Linked DNA regions of Oryzias latipes. The protein of the gene in region 1 interacts with the protein of each later gene in a pairwise test. Links are inferred from orthologs where the notes say so. Each region holds a gene or a part of one and is shown in the gene's direction. Other genes may lie near its edges. The genes, in order: pias4, smad7, htt, smad1 and satb1.

The links.
Region 2: the proteins of pias4 (region 1) and smad7 interact in a two-hybrid assay, tested with the Homo sapiens proteins (2 studies listed by BioGRID and IntAct). The link is inferred for Oryzias latipes from reciprocal best matches to the Homo sapiens genes PIAS4 and SMAD7.
Region 3: the proteins of pias4 (region 1) and htt interact in binary tests that used the Homo sapiens proteins (3 or more experiments, as listed by UniProt). The link is inferred for Oryzias latipes from reciprocal best matches to the Homo sapiens genes PIAS4 and HTT.
Region 4: the proteins of pias4 (region 1) and smad1 interact in a two-hybrid assay, tested with the Homo sapiens proteins (2 studies listed by BioGRID and IntAct). The link is inferred for Oryzias latipes from reciprocal best matches to the Homo sapiens genes PIAS4 and SMAD1.
Region 5: the proteins of pias4 (region 1) and satb1 interact in a two-hybrid assay, tested with the Homo sapiens proteins (2 studies listed by BioGRID and IntAct). The link is inferred for Oryzias latipes from reciprocal best matches to the Homo sapiens genes PIAS4 and SATB1.

Annotation. Positions count from the first base shown.
Region 1 is NC_019862.2:7,817,326-7,821,525, reverse strand, and holds the end of pias4 (E3 SUMO-protein ligase PIAS4), read left to right. Parts: intron 1-965; coding exon 966-1,126; intron 1,127-1,340; coding exon 1,341-1,492; intron 1,493-1,568; coding exon 1,569-1,834; 3' UTR 1,835-3,692; downstream 3,693-4,200.
Region 2 is NC_019870.2:9,759,886-9,763,880, reverse strand, and holds the start of smad7 (mothers against decapentaplegic homolog 7), read left to right. Parts: upstream 1-1,187; 5' UTR 1,188-2,139; coding exon 2,140-2,605; intron 2,606-3,279; coding exon 3,280-3,333; intron 3,334-3,995. UniProt on the Homo sapiens protein: Antagonist of signaling by TGF-beta (transforming growth factor) type 1 receptor superfamily members; has been shown to inhibit TGF-beta (Transforming growth factor) and activin signaling by associating with their receptors thus preventing SMAD2 access.
Region 3 is NC_019859.2:35,197,555-35,201,068, reverse strand, and holds part of htt (huntingtin), read left to right. Parts: intron 1-148; coding exon 149-269; intron 270-761; coding exon 762-821; intron 822-913; coding exon 914-993; intron 994-2,179; coding exon 2,180-2,318; intron 2,319-2,402; coding exon 2,403-2,544; intron 2,545-2,614; coding exon 2,615-2,793; intron 2,794-2,865; coding exon 2,866-3,070; intron 3,071-3,335; coding exon 3,336-3,383; intron 3,384-3,512; coding exon 3,513-3,514.
Region 4 is NC_019859.2:18,353,924-18,358,010, forward strand, and holds the start of smad1 (mothers against decapentaplegic homolog 1), read left to right. Parts: upstream 1-1,276; 5' UTR 1,277-1,405; intron 1,406-4,087. UniProt on the Homo sapiens protein: Transcriptional modulator that plays a role in various cellular processes, including embryonic development, cell differentiation, and tissue homeostasis.
Region 5 is NC_019874.2:30,130,704-30,134,217, forward strand, and holds part of satb1 (DNA-binding protein SATB1), read left to right. Parts: intron 1-557; 5' UTR 558-585; coding exon 586-796; intron 797-2,219; coding exon 2,220-2,396; intron 2,397-2,732; coding exon 2,733-2,859; intron 2,860-3,514. UniProt on the Homo sapiens protein: Crucial silencing factor contributing to the initiation of X inactivation mediated by Xist RNA that occurs during embryogenesis and in lymphoma.

The DNA of each region.
Region 1 (4,200 bases):
TATTAATGTTAAGAATATTATGAAGCGCCTGTTCGCTCATCGTTTTATTTAATCCGTGTGGTCGGTGCTTTTTTGTGGAAGAATTAAGCTGGAAGAAGGCTTAGGGCAGGCTAACACGGGCTAACATCATTAGCCTTGATGGACACAAAATCCAGGACCGTGCGAGAAACGCAGCAATCTGCATCTTCGCTGCACCTTGGCTGCACGTAAATGTGTGGGAATAACATCAGCCTTTATTTTGTCGGGACACGACTGGAAACACAAATTCATGTGATTGTTTGAACTGTTTGACTGAGCGACATTTATTTCTGCTCTGAAAAGTTCACACAGACAGACCGCCCCAAAGCCACTCTGTGAGCTTTGCCTCTAAATGCAGTTTATGTATGTGATTCTAACCAGTTTAATTATGTTTCCTGTTCAATTACAGTGTGAAAAAAGTCATAGTCCGGGCACAAAGATATAAATACATTTGGTTTAACGTTTAATATTTCTGTCTGAATACGACTTACTTTGTTTTGAATACAAGTCCCCCATTAACTTCCTGTCAAAAATATGTTTTTACAGGAAGTTAATGTGAAATTTCGGATTGAAAAAAAGACAGAAATTTTAAACGTTAAATTTATTTATTTTTGTTTTGGTTTTATGGAGTCAAACATTTTAAACTCTTCCTCGGTCCATATGTATCTGCTTGGATGCATGAGCTCAGAGGTAATTTACCTGATATGCTGCAAAATGTTGATGAATAAATCCAGTTCCTAAAAGCATGTGAATGTGAACACTCTGTTGTTTAAAGGACTCGAAACATTCAACTGTAGGACTTGGAGGTGACGTGAGACTTGTTGGTTTCGACTTGGGACTTGAGACATGGGACTTTGTCCCTCCTGTGGTTCACTGTGACGTCCTGCTGCTGATGTTCCTCAAAACGCCATGACTAACCTCCACTCTCCTCCTCCTGTCTCCTCCAGCTGGTGAAGATGCGACTCGGCGTGCCGTGCCGAGTTCTGACCTGCGCCCATCTTCAGTGTTTCGACGCCGTCTTCTTCCTGCAAATGAACGAGAAGAAGCCGACGTGGACCTGCCCCGTGTGCGACAAGCCGGCTCCCTTTGAGCTCCTCACCATTGATGGGTGAGGAAAGCTGTGTCCAACATTTACGACTGAAAACTTCATCTGCACTCTCGGGCTTTGACAAGTTTTTAAGTCAAAACCACAAAAAATCAAAGCTATGTTTGTTTTGACCTTCCCTTGTCTATACGTGAGGACAACTTGAAGTGTTTTTGTAAGTCTGGGTTCTGCAGATCTTTGGCAGACCTAAAGGTTTTTATCCACATCTGGGTTTCAGGTTGTGTTCAGAGATACTGAAGCTGACGGGTGAGGACATCGAGGAGATCGAGTATTTGACAGACGGCTCCTGGCGGCCAATCAGAGATGAAAAGGAGAAGGAACGAGAGCGGGAGCGCAGTAAAACTCCAGAGTACTCGGTTGTTGACATATGTAAGCGTCTGCGCGTTTCTTAGAGCGCCGTCTGCGCCGCGTTACAGTTCGTGACCTGCTGGGTTTGTGTCTGCAGGCAGTCCTGAAGCCAACGGCCATTCTCCGGCCCACAGCAGCACCAGCCTGACGGGCCGACCCGGAAGCAGCTCCTCAGGGATGGCTGGAGTCACGGGAGCACCGGCAGCAGGAGGTGTGGTAGTAGATCTGACTCTGGACTCCTCCTCTGAGGAGGAGGGGGGTGGGGCTGGAGGGGACAGTGAGGACACTGAGGACAGCGCCGACAGCCCCGCCCCCAAGAGGGGACGATACAACTACGACAAGGACTTGGTCACGGCGTACTGACCCTGCAGTTCTCCTGACAGACTGAGGCAGAGGAGCATGGAGGTTCAGACCTGAGGGCAGAAGGAGCCTGATGCTCACAGCGCGTCACTCCTCTTCGTGGCGTCCTGGCAAACCAACGCCGGTTTCTGGAGGAGAACGCGGTGTCTCCATGTCCCAATGGGGGCTGCTCCTCCTTTAAGCTTGCAGTAAACCCCGTTCCATCCCGTTCCTGCTGTAAAGACTGATCTCCTGACTACTGCTGCCCCGCCCCCTTAGTCTCCAGACTCCTCCCCTTCACCGTCTCTTTGTACAGACTGTCCGCCGCCGCTGCGGACCTTCAGTGTTTGCATCACATTCTTCTCACATTAGTGATGGACAGGAAGTTGTAAGCCAGCCGCCTCTGTCCTTTTTTGTTGTTGTTGAAGATGAAAACATCAGATGAGAAGACATGAAGGTCTGAGGAGCAGGTCAGGTGGAGATCTTGGTTCATAGCATCAGTCCAAACGTTAACCAGATGTTTCAGGATCATCTGGTTCATGGAGGTGCAGAGCACAACACCCCCCCGAAGCTTTCCTTCTACGCGTCCTCGGATGGAGAAACCTACCTCAACCGCAGAAGCTCGGCCCACAGATCTGAGAGCAGCTCTGGAGCAGCTGCAGACTTCCTGAGATGTTTCTACACTGGACTTTCATACGATGTGACCCTGTTCTCGGTCCAAATCCAGGTTCACAGGTGAAGCTCTTATTTTGGTTGAAGTTCAGGATGTGGTCTGCCTGGCTCCTGCAAAGACGTTTGTGGACAGGAAGTGATGGGCGGAGCTGCGCGTTTGGGTCAGTGGAGACGTCTGAAGGTCAGAGGCTGTCACTCTGCAGCTGCATCACTGCGCTCTTCGCACTGCTCTGCTTCCTGGACCTCCTGCTGTCAGGTGGAGCGGCTGTTGTCCGTCACACATCTCACAACAGTTGAACCTCCCGTTGCCCCGCCCGTCAGGCTCCTGTCTCTGCTGATGAGCTCACACCAGAGCCGGCTTTGCAGGATCCGTTTTAGTCCCAGAGTGAATCTTCAGGCCGTCGCATCTCCCGGTGGAAGAGATGTTTGCACTTTGATGGAAAACCTTCAGAGGACTCGTTTGGAAGCTCTGCATGTTTTCATTTGTTCCTGCACTTTGTGACCCGTTTCCATTCGCCGTGGGCTTTAGGTTCTGAGGGTTTCAACTAGAGGGTCGCGCTTGTCCACGACACGTTCTCATCCGCATCTCCATGTTGCATTTGGATCAGAACTTCCTTCACAGCAGAAGAAGGCGGATTCATGGTTAGAAAAAGAAGCTGGAGTCAAATGAAATCTGATCTTCCGGTTTGGAAGACACGAAGGCTTCGGGTGTTCGAGGAGTTCTGCTCCTGTGGCTCCGCTGAAGGTTCTGTCCATAGAACTCCTCGTCTGTTGGAGGGTCAGGCGGCCGGAGTGGATCTCCTCAGCGTCTCGTGACATCATGGTTGGTGGGACCGAGCCGCGTAGATGGTTTGAGCCTGTGGGGTCCCTGGTTTTTTTTTCTTTTACTTCTCTTAGTGGCTTCTCTTTGTAAATGCAGAACGTAGCATGGCCGCCCGGTGGCTCACAGTTCATTATGTACGAGTTTGGTTTTTTAAATGTTCATAAAGACAATAAAATGAAAATCTTATTTTATTACGTCTGGAATTCCCCCTGGTGATTCTTCTGGGTGACAAAACGCTGAGTTCAGCAGCAGCTCTGGACGCCGCCGCTGTGGCCAACATGTTCCACGTGTGAGTCTGTTCAGGACGATGAAACTGTAACATAAAGAAATGTATTCTAACAGCTGTTATTGACGTGTTGAATTAATAAAATCTGTTCTTAAAAAACATCTTCGCCTCTTTTCTGGAACTGTGTGACCTGAGTCTCAACTTCTGCTCTGGGAGGAGCTGCCCACCTTCAGGAGGCATTTGCTCCTACTCCAGTGGTTCCTTCTCTTTTTTTCTGTGTCTCCTCCATCCTAAAGAAGCGTCAGCTGTGGTCTATCAGGTTCAGACTGAACTGCTCTAGGTTTGCTTCACTAAACGGGTGGTTTTGGTTGCAGCGCTGACTGTTCATCCTCTAATTTATCTCGGATGAAACGCCGCCGTCTTCTGAAAACCTGCTGAGACGTTTGCATGATGGCACCAAACTTCAGCAGAGATCTGCTCTTTGGAGATGTGTGCAGCTGAGTCTCTATGAAAAACACGTTTGATGAATCTTCTGAAGTTTACGTTTGAAAAGTCAAAGTCTCCAGAACTGCAGGGTTGATGGGCTGAAGCCGAAAGGCAAACCGGTCAATTAGCTGAAATTACATTTACACAATAGATGATTTTCTGCATTAAGATGCCAGCACCCCT
Region 2 (3,995 bases), on another chromosome or scaffold:
GGGCTGCAGTGGCGCGCTCCTCCTCGGCGCCAGTTGGGGATCCGGGGGAACAATACGGGGGGGATAAACGACTGATACCCCCCCCCCCCCCCACACACACACATACACACACACACCCCACCTCCTCCCCCATCTTTCTCCATCTCCTCCACGCATGCACACACACCCCTCCTCAACCCCACACATCTCTGCCACCATCATTATCTGCCGCCCACCCCCATGCCCTGCAGCAACTCTGTCATATTAACATACTGCTGACTGCATCTCCTCCCCGGGACTACTGTCTGTCGAGGGAAGTCTGCAGACCAGAAACGGTTCATTTCTGTTTAAAAGAACAATTTCTCCTAAAACGTGTTAAATTTATTGGGTTTGAAGTGAGACATCACAGTGAGTGTTCCCCATCAAGCTGTATTTGTACATTTTTGGCACCAACATTGAGCTAAATTCCAGACATATATAAGTCTGTTATAATTAATATGGATTCCATGAGGGCAATGACACAGAAGGAAGGCTGGCACATGTTAAAAAGACAAGAAAAGACAAATTTGATCCTCAGCTGATGGATTGATCTGCTGGATAAATAAAGATGGGTGGGAACTCTTTGTGTGTGTAGTACCGAACATGTCCGATGGGGGGCAGCAACGAGCTCCCCCGAAGGAGTCAGCACTGTGGCTCACTTCCTAAATTCAACTCCAGCCATAAACTCTCCAAAACAATAAAACTGCCCTGTGTGATCACCATGGCAACAGTGGCGAAAAGCTATGAAGATATATTAAACTGATTCATAGCTTTAACGATGAAACACGTATTTACTGCTTATTCAGTACAAGCGTGAAATTAATGATTGAATATATATATATATATATATATATATATATATATATATATATATATATATATATATATATATATATATATATATATATATATATATATATAAACATTATTTTAGGACTGAAAGCAAACCAAAAAATCTGCAGATTTACTAAATAATTTAACTGAGAAATTTTTTTAATGTTGTTCTTTTTTCTGCAAATATTAAACTTTTGTGGCGTAAACTTTCTCATTTGTGTTTTCTAAGTGCGCGCGCGCGCTTGTGTGTGTGTGTGCACCGTGGGCTCTACTTGATCTGTTGTTTGCGCAACACAATCACATTTCTTTTAAGCGACAGGGTGTCTAGACACACACGTGACCGGGCGCGTCAATGCGCACTGGAGACTGGAGACGGAGCAAGGGCACCCAAACCATCCGCCTCATTTACAGACAGAGAGCCCTTTAGCCCGGACCAGATCAGCTGTCTGCTCGCTTTCCTCCACGCTCAGCCACGGAAACTCCGTGAGAGATACGATTTTGGATTATTTTATCTGGAGGGATTGCTAAAAGCAGGCTCGCTGCGTGGACGCAAAAAAGAAAAAGAAAAACGGAGGGTCTTGCTGTGGCTTTACAAACGCGACTCAACTCCGGTGGGAGACCTGGATTTTTTTCTCCTTGGCTCACTATTTTACCAGAAGACCTCATCCACTACATACTAAAATATACATTTAAAGGTGGGGAGCCCCAGTTCGTGCGCTCGGATGAAGGATTTTGTGGATTATGCTACTCAAGACGCGGCGGAGAGCTTCGCTTTTTCATGGGATGATTGCGCCAGCGTTGAGGCTTAATTAGGCCTTAGGTTTTTCTTATAAGTACCAGTTAGTTGTGACTTGAATAAACATTTCTGACAGCGTTTTTCCCCCCGCTGTAAACCGTCACGGCGTTTTTTTAAAGGGGTCAGTTCACAGCGCCGGATTGCACAAAACTGTAACGCATTCGGGCTTCACGCAGCTCCGCTGCTGCAGGTTTCCTGCTCCGGTTTGGTGTTTCTAAGCTCATAGATGTGATCTTTTTTTTTTTTTGTATTCTGATCGTGGAAACGTTGGCTGTCCCGCCAACCTCGAGCGCTTTCTGGTGACCTTTCTGCAGGAAAAACAGCTTCAGAGACTGGCGCATGCTATAGATTTCCTCTGCTTCTCCAGCTCCCAGTTTTTCCACCGTTTTCTCTCAGGCTGCTTGTCATTGCCTGGACTCGGATCCCGGAATCTTCATGATTTGCGGACACCATGCTCGTTTTTTAGCCGGGAAACCCTCTTTTCGTCCCGCATGTTTAGGACCAAACGATCGGGGCTCGTCCGGCGACTCTGGAGGAGCCGTGCGCCCGTGGAGGGCGACGGGGAGACGGATAGAGGGACGCATGGCTCCGGGGGCTGCTGCATGGGCAAAGCGACAAAAGTGGCCAAGTCCAACGCGGGGTCGGAGGCCGAATTGAAGGCGTTGACCCACTCGGTACTGAAAAAGATCAAAGAAAAACAATTAGAGGTGCTTTTGCAGGCGGTGGAGTCCAAGGGGGGCGTCCGGAGCCCCTGCCTTCTCCTGCCCAGCAAAGTGGACGCCAAAGTGGGTCAACAGTCTTACTCCCTCCCCATGCTGCTCTACAAAGTGTTCAGGTGGCCGGACCTCAGGCATTCCTCGGAGCTGAAGAGGCTGTCGTGCTGTGAATCTTACGGGAAAGCCAACCCCGAGCTCGTTTGCTGCAACCCTCACCACATGAGCAGGCTCTGTGAACTCGGTGAGCTTCAATATTTTCACTAAAAAAAACTCCAAAAAAATGAGGTCCTAGGTGGAGAGAAGGCTGAAAAAGACTGTGCCAATTAACCTAATTCTAATGACAACACCTCTCTGGCACAGTGGTCTTCAGGTTCCATTGATCTGAAGCTGTGCCAGATCCTTTTAGCAGGTTTGGTGGTCGAGTTTGAATAGAAACCTACTTTAATTAATTGTTCCATTTGATTTTTTTTTTCCAAAACTCAAATCCTCCTCAGCTATACGCATTGTCGCGGTTTCAGATTTCCAAACACCCCTGTTAAGAATTTCAACATTTCATAATTGGCATCCAAAGTACAGAAAGACTCTCCAGTCTTGAAATGTGTGTGTTTATGTGTGTGTGTGCTTGCTTGGCGTCCCGGGCCAAAAGAGGCCCGTATCTCAGTTTGTCCTAGACGCTGATAGTGGCCCTTCTGGCGCCAGGCGGCCCCCTGTTTATCTGCCTGCCAATGAAAGGCAATAGCCGCCCGGCCAGCCTCACTGCCTGCTTCTCCAGGCGGAGCTGACAGGCACAAATCAGCCCTCCCCTGAAGAATGACAACTCTTATCAGAAAGTTCAGATCTCTCCTTTGTGTTTTTTTTCTTCCTCTTCTTTTCTCATGCAGTTTTTTTTCTTTCCCCCCCTCCTCCTCCACACAGAGTCTCCTCCTCCTCCTTATTCGCGATATCCCATGGACTATTTGAAACCACCAGGTGAGCTTGATGCATCATTTCACATGGATATTTCCTAAGTCATTGCTTTTTGTTTGTTTGTTTGTGCAATAATATGCATGTTTGAAGTGATGTCATGAGCTGCACTTCACGTTGGTGTCCTCTGCAGGAAATGGTGTTGTGATTTATGGGGAGTTGTGTGTGTGTGGGGGGGGGGCAGAGTGACACGCCTGGCTGGCTGGCCAATTCTAATGTGGCTAGCAGCCAGGGCAAGGCAATACGAAGTTGAGATACCAGCTATGGACTGACTGGCATGTCACCAGGGCTTGTGTGCATGTCTGAGTTGGGGGTGGGGTTGGGGGGGTGGTCTGTCCATCTATCTATTGTGAACCACAGTGCTGAGAGAGACAGACAACAGAGTCTGGAGCCAGTCAGCCTTTATCAGATGGAATGATCAGTAGATTAAGAGTGGGGTTTGCGGTGTGTGTTTGGGAGGGAGGGGGGTCTTTTCTCCACTCAAAGTGATTGCCCCCCCCCTCCACCACCACCACCACCCAACACTTGTTTTCTGACTTGACCCGGGCCCCCGTGTGGCAGCAGGCCACAGCATCGTCATGGGTTACATCCGCTTTGAAGACCAAACCCTCGTCTTTAATTATCTCTTATTTCTGATCATCTCAGCCTCCATGGGCGCAGAAACAGCC
Region 3 (3,514 bases), on another chromosome or scaffold:
GCTTCACTTTTGTGTCCGCTACAAATTTGACTGACAGGCTCAGATTAGAAAAAAACGAGGACCCGGGTTTCCTAAAGTAATGGGGGGGAGGGGGGAAGTTGAATCAATGCTTTTCTTACCGTTGGCCCTATTTGAACCCTTTGAACAGAACGTCTCCAGAGTTTCAGAAGCTGCTTGGCATCGCCATGGAGATGTTTCTGCTTTGCAGCGACGACAGCGAGTCCGACGTCCGGATGGTGGCTGACGAGTGCCTGAACAAAATCATTAAAGTGAGGAACTCTCTTTACTCTGCTTTTTGGTTTGCGTTGACTGAACCAATGCTTTTGTCTTATTGGTTTTGGCATGTAGGTTGTTTTTGTGTGTGTGTTTCTTTTTTCTTTTTTTAACTCCATCAGAACTATTATTCTACATAAATATTCACGTAAAGTTATTTGCGCTGTGTGAGCTTTTGTGCATTTGTGCTTGTGTTTGGAAGTGTGTGTTGCAGTGTGTATGTAAACACAATTGTGGAATTATTTAGCTTTTGTTGAAGAGAAGAGGCGCCACAAACCCCCCTTTACATATTTATGCTTCATTTTATTCCTGTGCATCCATTTCTATTATGTAAACACTCTTTTTTCCTTATCTTTCCCATATTTGACATACACTCAGAATAAACAGTTGACATGACCAGAAGGGGTCAAACCACCTATTGTTAATATGAATTGTGTTGTTTTGTTTAACCAATCATGCTTCGTTCATCTTCTGACCTGAATCTTCAGGCGCTGATGGACTCTAATTTACCCAGACTGCAGCTGGAGTTGTACAAAGAAATTAAAAAGGTAATAAATTCCACTTGTTGTTTATTTGCATCGTTGCTTTTGCAGCTTTTCCATCAATAAAAGTGTTTTTTTTTTTGTGCCCTTCTTCGCAGAACGGTGCCTCTCGGAGTCTGAGGGCGGCTTTGTGGAGGTTTGCTGAGCTGGCCCACCTCATCAGGCCGCAGAAGTGCAGGTACCTGAGCCGCCTGGAGGATTTCCATCGCTCACTGTTGTCAGATTAATTTTGAAATCTGTTGGGGATCTTTCTTTAAGGATGTATTCACGCTGGACACTCGTGAACCAGAGTTAGTTTTCCCCGATAATCTGGAACAAATTTTCAGTCTGAATACACCCAAGTGGACCCTGGTCTGGGACCAGGAACTGGAAACTCAGCTGCGTCTTCCTGACTGCCGGAGTTCGTTTTCCAGCTTCCTCCACTTGTGAATCATGGATTCATTCTTCTTGAATTCCCTGCAGCTGCTCCAATGTTCCTCCGCGTAGCTCAGTGCTTCTCAATTATCTTTTGCAAGGACCCCCCCTAGGAAAAAGAAAATGCCCCCCCCCCAACCCCCGCACACAAACTTATTTATAAGATAAAGTGCAGCTGTTTTCCTGCGTTACCTGCTGTCTTTATGTGTGAAGACAGCTAGTGTGTGTCCTCACACACACCAACCTTTTATAAAGGTTTGAACTTTAAGAGTTTAAACAAGAGAGAAAAGTGAACCACTCTTTGGAAAGTTAAAACGTTTATCTGTTTTTTTGTCACCATTAAGGATGTCCCGATCCGATCACACATCGGGACATCACATGGTCAAAAATCTGGCCTGGTCATGTGGTTGCAGACTTGATTGAAATGGGATGTTGTACCCCGACCAAGGATCGGGCATTCAGTTAATTTGTTCTCATTATGATCAGCTCTTTACATTTCAAGCTTATTATTCCAGATCTACTAGACGTCTGCATATCTGCAACAAATCACCTTTATCTTTTTGCTGCACCACTTTGAGCAGGAGGCGCACAGAAACAGTTCAGCCAGATTAGGACTTCCAGGATCAATAACTTAAAAAATAAAAAAACTGACAGCAAGTCTCTATATTGAGTTACGATAACGGAAAGCACGACCTGCCAGTAGGGGAAAAATCATTTTAGCAATATATCGCGATAATTCATTTGGCGATACTTGTATCGATTTAAAATGCTGCCAGGACGATATTCATTCAAATATTAATGAGCGTCCTTCAGCCGCTGACTCTTGTCTTCAATACAGCATTTAATCCTGCATTTTCTTCTGGAAATGCAGCTCCTTCTACTTTAATTTAGTTTTTTTTCTAATGGGATGCTTCGGGATTTATTGTTTTGTCCTTTGGTTGCTCTGCAAGGCCGTACCTGGTGAACCTGCTGCCGTGCCTCACCCGCATCACCAAGCGGCAGGAGGAAACCGTGCAGGAGACCCTGGCTGCAGCAACGCCCAAAATCATGGCCGCGCTAGGAAACTTTGCGAATGACGGCGAGGTCAAGGTAACCTGTTTTTACTACAGGAACAATGTTTTTTTTCTCCCCTTTTGCATTCACTAAAAGCTCGAGTCCTTTTCATTTTTCCAGCTCCTGCTAAAGTCGTTTGTTGCCAACCTGAAATCCAGCTCCCCCACCATCAGACGGACGGCGGCCAGCTCCGCCGTCAGCGTATGCCAACACTCCAGACGCACCAGCTACTTCTATACCTGGCTTCTGAATGTGCTGCTAGGTACGTCACCGAACACGGCACACCCAGACTGCAAGCCCCCTGGTTCTGCACGCTCTCCTTCCATCTCCAGGTCTGCTGGTTCCAGTAGACGAGGAGCATCCCAGTCATCTGATTCTGGGGACGTTATTGACTCTACGCTACATGATGCCTCTGCTACAGCAGCAGGTCAACACTACCAGCCTCAAAGGAAGCTTTGGGGTCATGAGGAAGGAGGCAGATGTTCAGCCGACACCTGAGCAGATGCTACAGGTGTGTGTGTGTGTAAGAGAGCGCATGTGTGTTTGTGCAGCCACGCTCTGCTCACCTCCTGCGTCTCTGAAGGTGTACGAGCTGACCCTACACTACACGCAGCACTGGGATCACAACGTGGTCACGGCGGCTCTGGAGCTCCTGCAGCAGACGTTCAGGACGCCGCCGCCAGAGCTCCTCCACCTGCTCATCACAGCGGGCAGCATTCCTCACGCCACCGTGTTTCGCCAAGACAACGAGAGCCGCGCCCGTTCTGGCAGCATCCTGGAGCTCATTGGTAATGCGTTGTTTTTCTCCACAAAGGTGTTTCTGTCGCTGATTCACGCCACTAAACATTTAGCGAGTCGTCCTGTTAGCCTGCGCTGCGTTCACTTTTGCCCTGAAGGAACTCGGCTGCTCCTTTTTCTAACTCTTGGTCTGTTTGTGAGATTAACACCTCTGCTGTGTTCGAATCGTCATCTTTTTAGTGCTTTCCAAGCTTTTCCTGCTTCTCTTCCTGTCATTTCCTTTTTTTCTTCTTCCGGTTTTCCTGCCGTCTGCAGCAGGAGGTGGGTCTTCCTGCAGTCCACTCCTCCTCAGGAAACAGAGAGGTGACTCTTCTACACCTTTTCTTTGCTGACTTCCGCCCAAACGACGGGATTTACTCAAAATTCCACCTGCAGATGTTTGCACTTGTAGGAACTCGATGAGCGTTGACCACAAATCTGGAATTTTTCCAGGA
Region 4 (4,087 bases), on another chromosome or scaffold:
ATAAATAAAGTAGTTTTTAAGTGAGTTTTATATTACAGAAGGAAAACGTTTTGGGATGTACTTTGTCAACTAATCTGAATTTATCATGCCAATTCAGTGACTATGCTTTTAATAGCTATAGCTCTAGACACATGCTTTTTTAACTGTAGTTTTTATTTTTGGCATATAAACTTTTGTCTGTGATAATAAAGTTGTGCATCTAGGAAGGTAAAATAAGAGGATGATAGTGGATGTGTGCGCGCGCCCGAGTGTGTCTGTCTGAAGGGAATCCTTTTTGCTTCAAGTTTGAAGAGCCTTCCCCCTGCCCCCGCCATCATGATCCCTATTATAACGATCATCATCATCATCCTCATCAGCGAGCCTCCACCCCTCCACCCCGTTCCCTTCTTCCCCCCACATTTATTCACGTGCTGCTCGCGCCCGCCTCACTCAGACATTCTGTCGCCAGCGCCGTGACGTCACGTGTGCCAGAAGCTTTCTGCGTCGAGAGCGTTTGCCTCCGCCTGTCTTCAAGATAATCTAGTCCCTCTCGCGGCGGAAACGCCAAATCTTAGAAAAACTATTTTAAAAATGTGACGTTTTTTTTCTTTCGTTTGAAAAATATCACATTATTACAAAACACTTGTATGTTGTTTTTTTTATCGCAATACACAGGCAAAGTGGAGAATTTTAGCTTTACTCTGTATATACACTTCCTTTCATATATTTAATATCTATGATACACTATTAGCATTTATTCCAATTAAGATACAATATATTTATTTCATTTCACGCTTGTATTCTTTGTTTCGTGGCACGTGTGGTCATGTTTCTATGACGTCTATTTACTTTTTTCCTCTATCAGGCAATTGCTTATCATGTCACAATCACAGCTTGAGGGAAACAAAATGCCTAAATGCAGTTCAGAAGTTCAGGATCAGACAAACTGCCTGTCAGGATTGCAGAAAAAAACAGAAAAAAACCAAGCAGGCTTGCTCAATTCTCTTAGCAATTTACACTTTTTAACTCTCATTTAAAAGGTGTGTACGCCAACAAAATGCACAGTCCAAATAATATGGATTTACAGAGAAGTTATGGGAGGAGTTTTTATGCTTTGAAGTTAAAAAAAAACACAGAACTGTTATGTAGTATAGGAACAGAATGGAAACCCTTTCCTTGTAAGAAATTGTTGACAATTTGCGAGAAGCTCTAACTGTTTTACAATTACATAATCCACTTATGAAGATGTAGTAGGTCTGCTCTGTGTTGGGGTCTGTGTCCCGCGGCGTAATACTGGCGCACAGGGGGAGTGTGAGGCGGCTCGGCGACTCTGTGACGCCAGGTCGATAAGACCCAACTCAGGCAGCGAGAGCGCTCAGGAGGGGCCCGGTGATTCCCAGAAAGCGTAAACTACACACAAAAAAAGGTACGGAGATATTTTTATTCCTTTAAATTTTATAAATAAAACTAATTCTAGCATATCTTGTTTATACTGCGCACCACTTTACCGAGAGGAAGGAGAAGGTTAGCAGGTTAGCAGTAGTCTGTCAGTTGGAAGCTTCAAACTTTCCCCCCTTTAATTCAAAGTCTCTGACGGGAGACTTATGTTGTTTTTTTCTTCTGTGTGGAAATCATGAAGTGATGATGATGAGAGCTCAGCATCGTTGCTTTCTAGAAAACTCTTATGAAGTACAGATTTAGAATGTGTGTGTGTGTGGGGGGGGGGGGGAGCTGCAAATGCTGTTGTTTTCAAATCTCTTTAAATGACAGAATTTAGGCTTCATTTTGGTTCAATTTCAAAAATACTTTCTTTTCACATGAAAAAAAGCAATATTAGGTGATGTAATGCTATATAGTTGTATCCCATTTCAGCCACGTTATTTCTTTGTTTAATGTCAGAATACTGAATTATAAGGCCAAAAGTGATCATTTTGAAAAATGACTAATTACTTTGATCATGTAAACTCAGTTTATATGTGCATAAACTAAATACACTCAGCAAATAATAAACCAACAAGGCAGATCTACATCATCAACTTTTGTTGTTGTAGAAATTAAATCATCCTCATTATGAAACTCCACTTAAAGATGATCGACAAAGATACAAGCTAATCATGGAGTCTCCAACTTGAGTGTTTAATATATTTTGTAAATGAAGTATTTAATGGCTTTGAAGAAATGAAGAACATAAATATTTTAATTTTTTTTAGTTTTTTTAGGCTTTGTAGACTGAAACAAGTCATGATACTAGAATGCACACAAAAATGATTGAGGATATGTAATAGACATTGTATAAAGATCAAGTGACATTTATCTGTGCTTTCTTTTTGTCTACAAAAACACCAAAAATTGTAGAAAAGTTATTGATTTTACTTCGTTATGCAACATTCTGACATGTCTTGATGAAGTGTTATTTGATTTATTACACTGCTGTTAATGAGTAATCATAATTTAATCATGAACAATTTTCCATTCTATTTTAATGTCAAACAGTACAGCAATACTCTTAAAATGAGTACATTGCAGGAATACTACTTGCTACTGTTGTTTGATTAATGATAACTACCTTTCGCTGAATTTTAAGAAGTACTTTTCCTTGCATTTGCACAGTAGTGTACTAGAGTTTTTCTGCAGTTGTGTCCATGGAAGGTAAACAAGGGAAAACACAGAGTGAGAGTCTTGCAGCAGCTCAGCCCAGATCTCCTGACATTATTGAAGATGACATATCAGATTACTCAAAGGACGGGATTTTGCCCTTGTTCGTGCTACAGCCTATACCCTGTTGTTGTTTTGCATTCTCGGGGTATGCAATGATGAGTTATGCTTGAGAAATTGTGTGTTCTTCCCTTTTCTTTTCAGTCTTTTAGGACTGATAAGAAAAATAAATGTAATGTATTTATTTAGCTTATTGTCTGTGGGTTTTTTTGTACACATGTTCGTAAAGAAATTTAGCTTTAGCATGTAGAGTTCCCAGTGTTATTGTTGTCTGTCTTTCAGCTGTGGCATTTCTTAGGGTGACTACAATCAGAAAACTGAGCTAAACTACACTGACAGATTCATTTTGCAAATGAAATATTTCTGACTATAGTGTAATGTACTAAAGTATGAATATATAGGATTAATTTGTTACACTTTTCTTGTGTGTTTGTGTGATCTGAGCACTGTGGCCTCATAGTGATAGGGGGAAGTGTCCACCCTAACACAACACAAACCCGACTCTTGAGTGCCAAGCATGTTTGAGATGGCTGCCTACAAACCCATGCGATTGCTATTTATGTCTGCTGTCCGGTTGCGTGTTGACTGATGTATCTGGAATGTAAAAATACGGCTGTAGCTTTGTAGTCAGGACAAATGTGATTCCAGGCCGTTTGCAGAGGCTGTTCCCATTCAGAGCTTCATCTCTAACTTATCGTGCAATCCTTGCCGAATCTGAGCATTGCACAGATTCGTGTTTGTGGGGGACCGTGGCCCGGTGACTCAAAGGACACTCTGGTCAATGACTATGTCTAGTCAGAAGGCATCTTGTGTGTGTCTGTGGTTATTTTTAAGCTTTACTTATACATAGACTGCTGGGTAAAATAACTTTGGCAGAAATCTGCATTCATTGCTCACTGTGGACCCTAACAGATTTTAAATAATTGTGGATGTCATCTTTATTTTGTCCAAAATAATCTCTTTATACATAAGAATTAAAGATTTGAAAATAAACAGGATGCTTTTTTTTAACAGATCAAGCCTTTATTGTTCAAAATCTATATAAAGACCTGGTCCAATGAAAATATTTTTGGTGTTTTTAACATGTTCTTATAGTATTTTTCTCATGATGGAGGACATGTAAAAAAAAAGAAAAGTGCTCAAAATTTCTTTTTTGAGTATTTCTTCATTTAAATGGTTGTAAATCAAGAGCAGTTGGAAAAAGTCTGTAGCAGTGATGTAGGTGCTGCTGCAGCCGGCAGACCACAACCCCCCTGCTCCGCTCTATTCCCATAGATCCACTTGTAGATGCATTGATCCATGTTAGTCTTTGTTTTCCTTGTCCGAGTTGACATCTGACTCAAAACTCTCCTGTTGGATCGCTCCAATATTGCTAGGCATTTTTTTTTGCACC
Region 5 (3,514 bases), on another chromosome or scaffold:
GCGCGCGCCCATGCAGGCACGCGCCCACATACTTTACAAAGTTGTGAACTACTTTGTCTCCTCCCCAGGCCTTCCACAGGTCAACATTTCATCCAAAACCAAATGTATTTATATATATAAATATAGATGTATAAAAAAATTTGAATTTAGAAGTTTTTAAAAGTATAGCTTAAAAAAACGACTAAATGATTGTAAATACATAAACAGGGAAACAATAAAGGGGTTTATTATAAAAGTTTTTAATAAAAATAATGATTTGGACTTAGAATTTTAAGTTGAAGATTTTTCGTCCACATTCATAATCTTAAATCCAAAATATCATTAAAAATACTTTTTCTGCTTTGGAACCATCCAAATTCTTCACTGAGAAACTGAGTTTGTGTTTTAAATTCTATTTTTAAGCGCCACGTTTGCTGGATAACTGTAATACTTTCCTCTGACTGAATGTGGAGATTCGCTCTTCTCAGGTGGAAGATGTTCTCAGAGCTCCACAGCCTCACGCCTAGCCAAAATCCCACCCATCAGGTGTTTTCTTTAATGCTTCTTTCCCTCCCCAGGTGATAGTGAGCAGAGGCGCTGAGAAGGATGGAGCATCTCAGCGAGACGTGTTTGGGCAAGGAGAACTCGGAGCTGGTCAACAGCATGGCGGAAGCCAAGGCCCCGCCGGCCAAGCTGCCCCGGCTGGAGCAGAACGGCAGCCCGCTGGGGCGGGCCCGACTGGGCAGCAACGGGGCCAAACTGGCGGGGGTCCCGTACAAGCCCAGCGGCCACCTGCTGAAGACCTTCCACAAGAGAGGTAAGACGGCGCTGCAGGAGATCGCGTCTGTTTCTCCTCGTGTGTCTTAAACGAAGAGGCGCCATAAAACCGTCACGGCGGAAAATCTGCAAATTCTCATCTTTTTACTGCTTAATTAATGACACAGGCATAATAATGAAGTTTTATTGTGCATAATTCTGCTCTTACAGAAAAAAGACATTTCTAGGAAGTTGCTTTTCTCCTCAGAAAAGTAGAATATTTTGACGTTGGTGCATTGAAACCAAAGCTAGGGGAAGGTTCTGCTATGCTGCCGTTTGTTTGCAGTGGGCAGAAGTTTCTTTTAGGAGCTTTGACAAAGTTTTATTATTAATATAAGTCATCTTCTTGAGGAAGAAGAAGGCGTCAGTCGAGTCTGTTTTTACGATTATGGTTCTGTTTTTAGTGGAAGTGAGATTCAGAAGTCAGTTCTGGAGTCGTAAAAGTTCTTGGCTGCTGGAGCTTTTTTGGTCTGTTGTTTTTTTTTTTTGGCCAATAGGGAGACAGGAGCTCCTGGAATGTGTCGCTGTGTCCTCAGATGGGTCATTTCTCCACTTTATTTTTTTCGTTTTTTTTATGCATCTGGGAGAAACGTCCGCTATTCCCCCCCCCCCATCCTTTCAGCTGTTTCTCCAGCATCCAGGCTGGCAAAGAGGGGGCGGGCTCACCTCTCAGGCTTCGCACAGGAGCCACAGTTGGTCCGAAATAATAATATCTGCCACGGCGCTCTCTGGGCTTTTGGAAACAAAGCCAGTATTGACCCCCCCCCCCCCCCCCAATGAACCAGCACAGCAGTCTTTATTGTCAGATCTGTATCTATCAGAATCAGGGGGGAGAAAAGCAGCCCTTTCAGCACATTCCTCTGCATTTGTTGGCCCGTCGATTGTTTGGTCGGAGCCCTGCGCATCTTCTGGAATGCCTAGGATCCGAAAATATTGGGATCTTTTTTTTTTGGTCAGCAGAGACGATAAACAAGTAGAAATCTGTCTGACAGCAGGACGTAAACACGGTTTCTTTATTCGGGGAGACGCTTTTCACTTTCCCTATTAAAACTTCTCTAACACAAAAGCACATTGGGTGAAATTTGCAGAGTAAACGTTCATTTTCTGGACCAGGACTCTTCATTTTTTAGTCGACCGAGCTGCTGGTGACTCCGTTTAGCAGGAGAGGCCTTTGCTTTGGGAGGAAAAGGCTTCAACGGTGATGTTTCCCCGTTTTTACCGTGTTTAACCCCAACGCGAGGTGAATTCTGCCTGACGTTGGATTCCTGGTGCTGATGGGAATGGGAGAGTCTTTGCACCGGAACTGCACTCTGAAAGATCATTTCTCCTCACCTAACTCGATCATCGGGCTAAATATGACTCCCTGTGAGCGGCTGACGGTCAGAGTCCTCACCCCCAGAACCCGGGTGTTGCCGTGTCTGCAGGCAACATGCTGCCGGTGTTCTGCGTGGTGGAGCACTACGAGAACCCCATGGACTTCGACAGCAAGGAGGAGCACGCCGAGTTCGTCCTGGTGCGCAAGGACATGCTGTTCAACCAGCTCATCGAGATGGCTCTGCTGTCGCTGGGCTACTCTCACAGCTCCGCCGCCCAGGCCAAAGGTGACTCCTCCCACCCCCTCCACCATAACTGCAACACACGCTGACAGATATCACACAGTGGCCTGCATGTGTGTATCTCCATGCACACGTGTTGTGTAGGTGGAGGCAAGACTGTAATTGCACAGGAACACATGCAGTTTGAGCTTTGCTATTTTAAGATGCATATTTGTGCGCGTAGTCCATCCCTATCGCACACACGCACACACACACACGCACGCAAACCCTGACTCACACCTCTCCCCTGCTGACATCACAGCACGCCAGTGTTGCAGTTTTAAATAAAGCGCCGATGGCGAGCTCCGCTCCGGCCCACGTTGACGCGCTTTCACCCCGCAGGTATGATTCAGGTGGGGAAGTGGAACCCCGTCCCGCTGTCGTACGTGACGGACGCGCCGGACGCCACAGTGGCCGACATGCTGCAGGACGTTTACCACGTGGTCACGCTCAAGATCCAGCTGCACAGGTGAGGAGCACGCCGTGTTTACATGCCTGAAATCAGAGGATGAAACCTGCTAAAGGCTTCTCAAAAACCTTAAAGGAAGAAAACTTCCCATAATCCAGATTAAGACGTTTGATTTTTGACATCCTGGTTCATTTGAAAATCCCCAACTTTCCTGCTGAGCAGTTCTTTGTGGTGTTGAGGACATAAAACACATAAACCTTCAGAATAAAAGTCTTAATTTCTGCAGTCGACTTGGCTTTCAGAGTAACGCGTCTTAAGATCCTTAAGCCGTTTGTTGCTTAAACTAACATTTGATAATTCTGATAATATTGCGTATCAATCATGTGCATTTTTAGCGGTTACATTAATGCCAAACAAAGAGTTTTAAATAACTGCAAACACAGAGCTAAACCTGGAGGGAAGATGTGGGCGGTTGTTTGGTCTTTGATATAAATGTCCAACATTCCTGATTCTTCCTCTGAAGTTTCAAAAATTCAGGAAAAAATCTGCAGCTGAAAAAGTTTAAATGGGAAAAACTCAAGAAGACATAAAATAAGATGTAAAAAAAACCAAGACAAGACATGGAAATTGTCAACTTTTCAGGATGGGAGGAGCTTCATGAGAATGAAAATCTCACGTGAAGCTCCTCATCACCTGATTCAAAAAGCACGGTCAG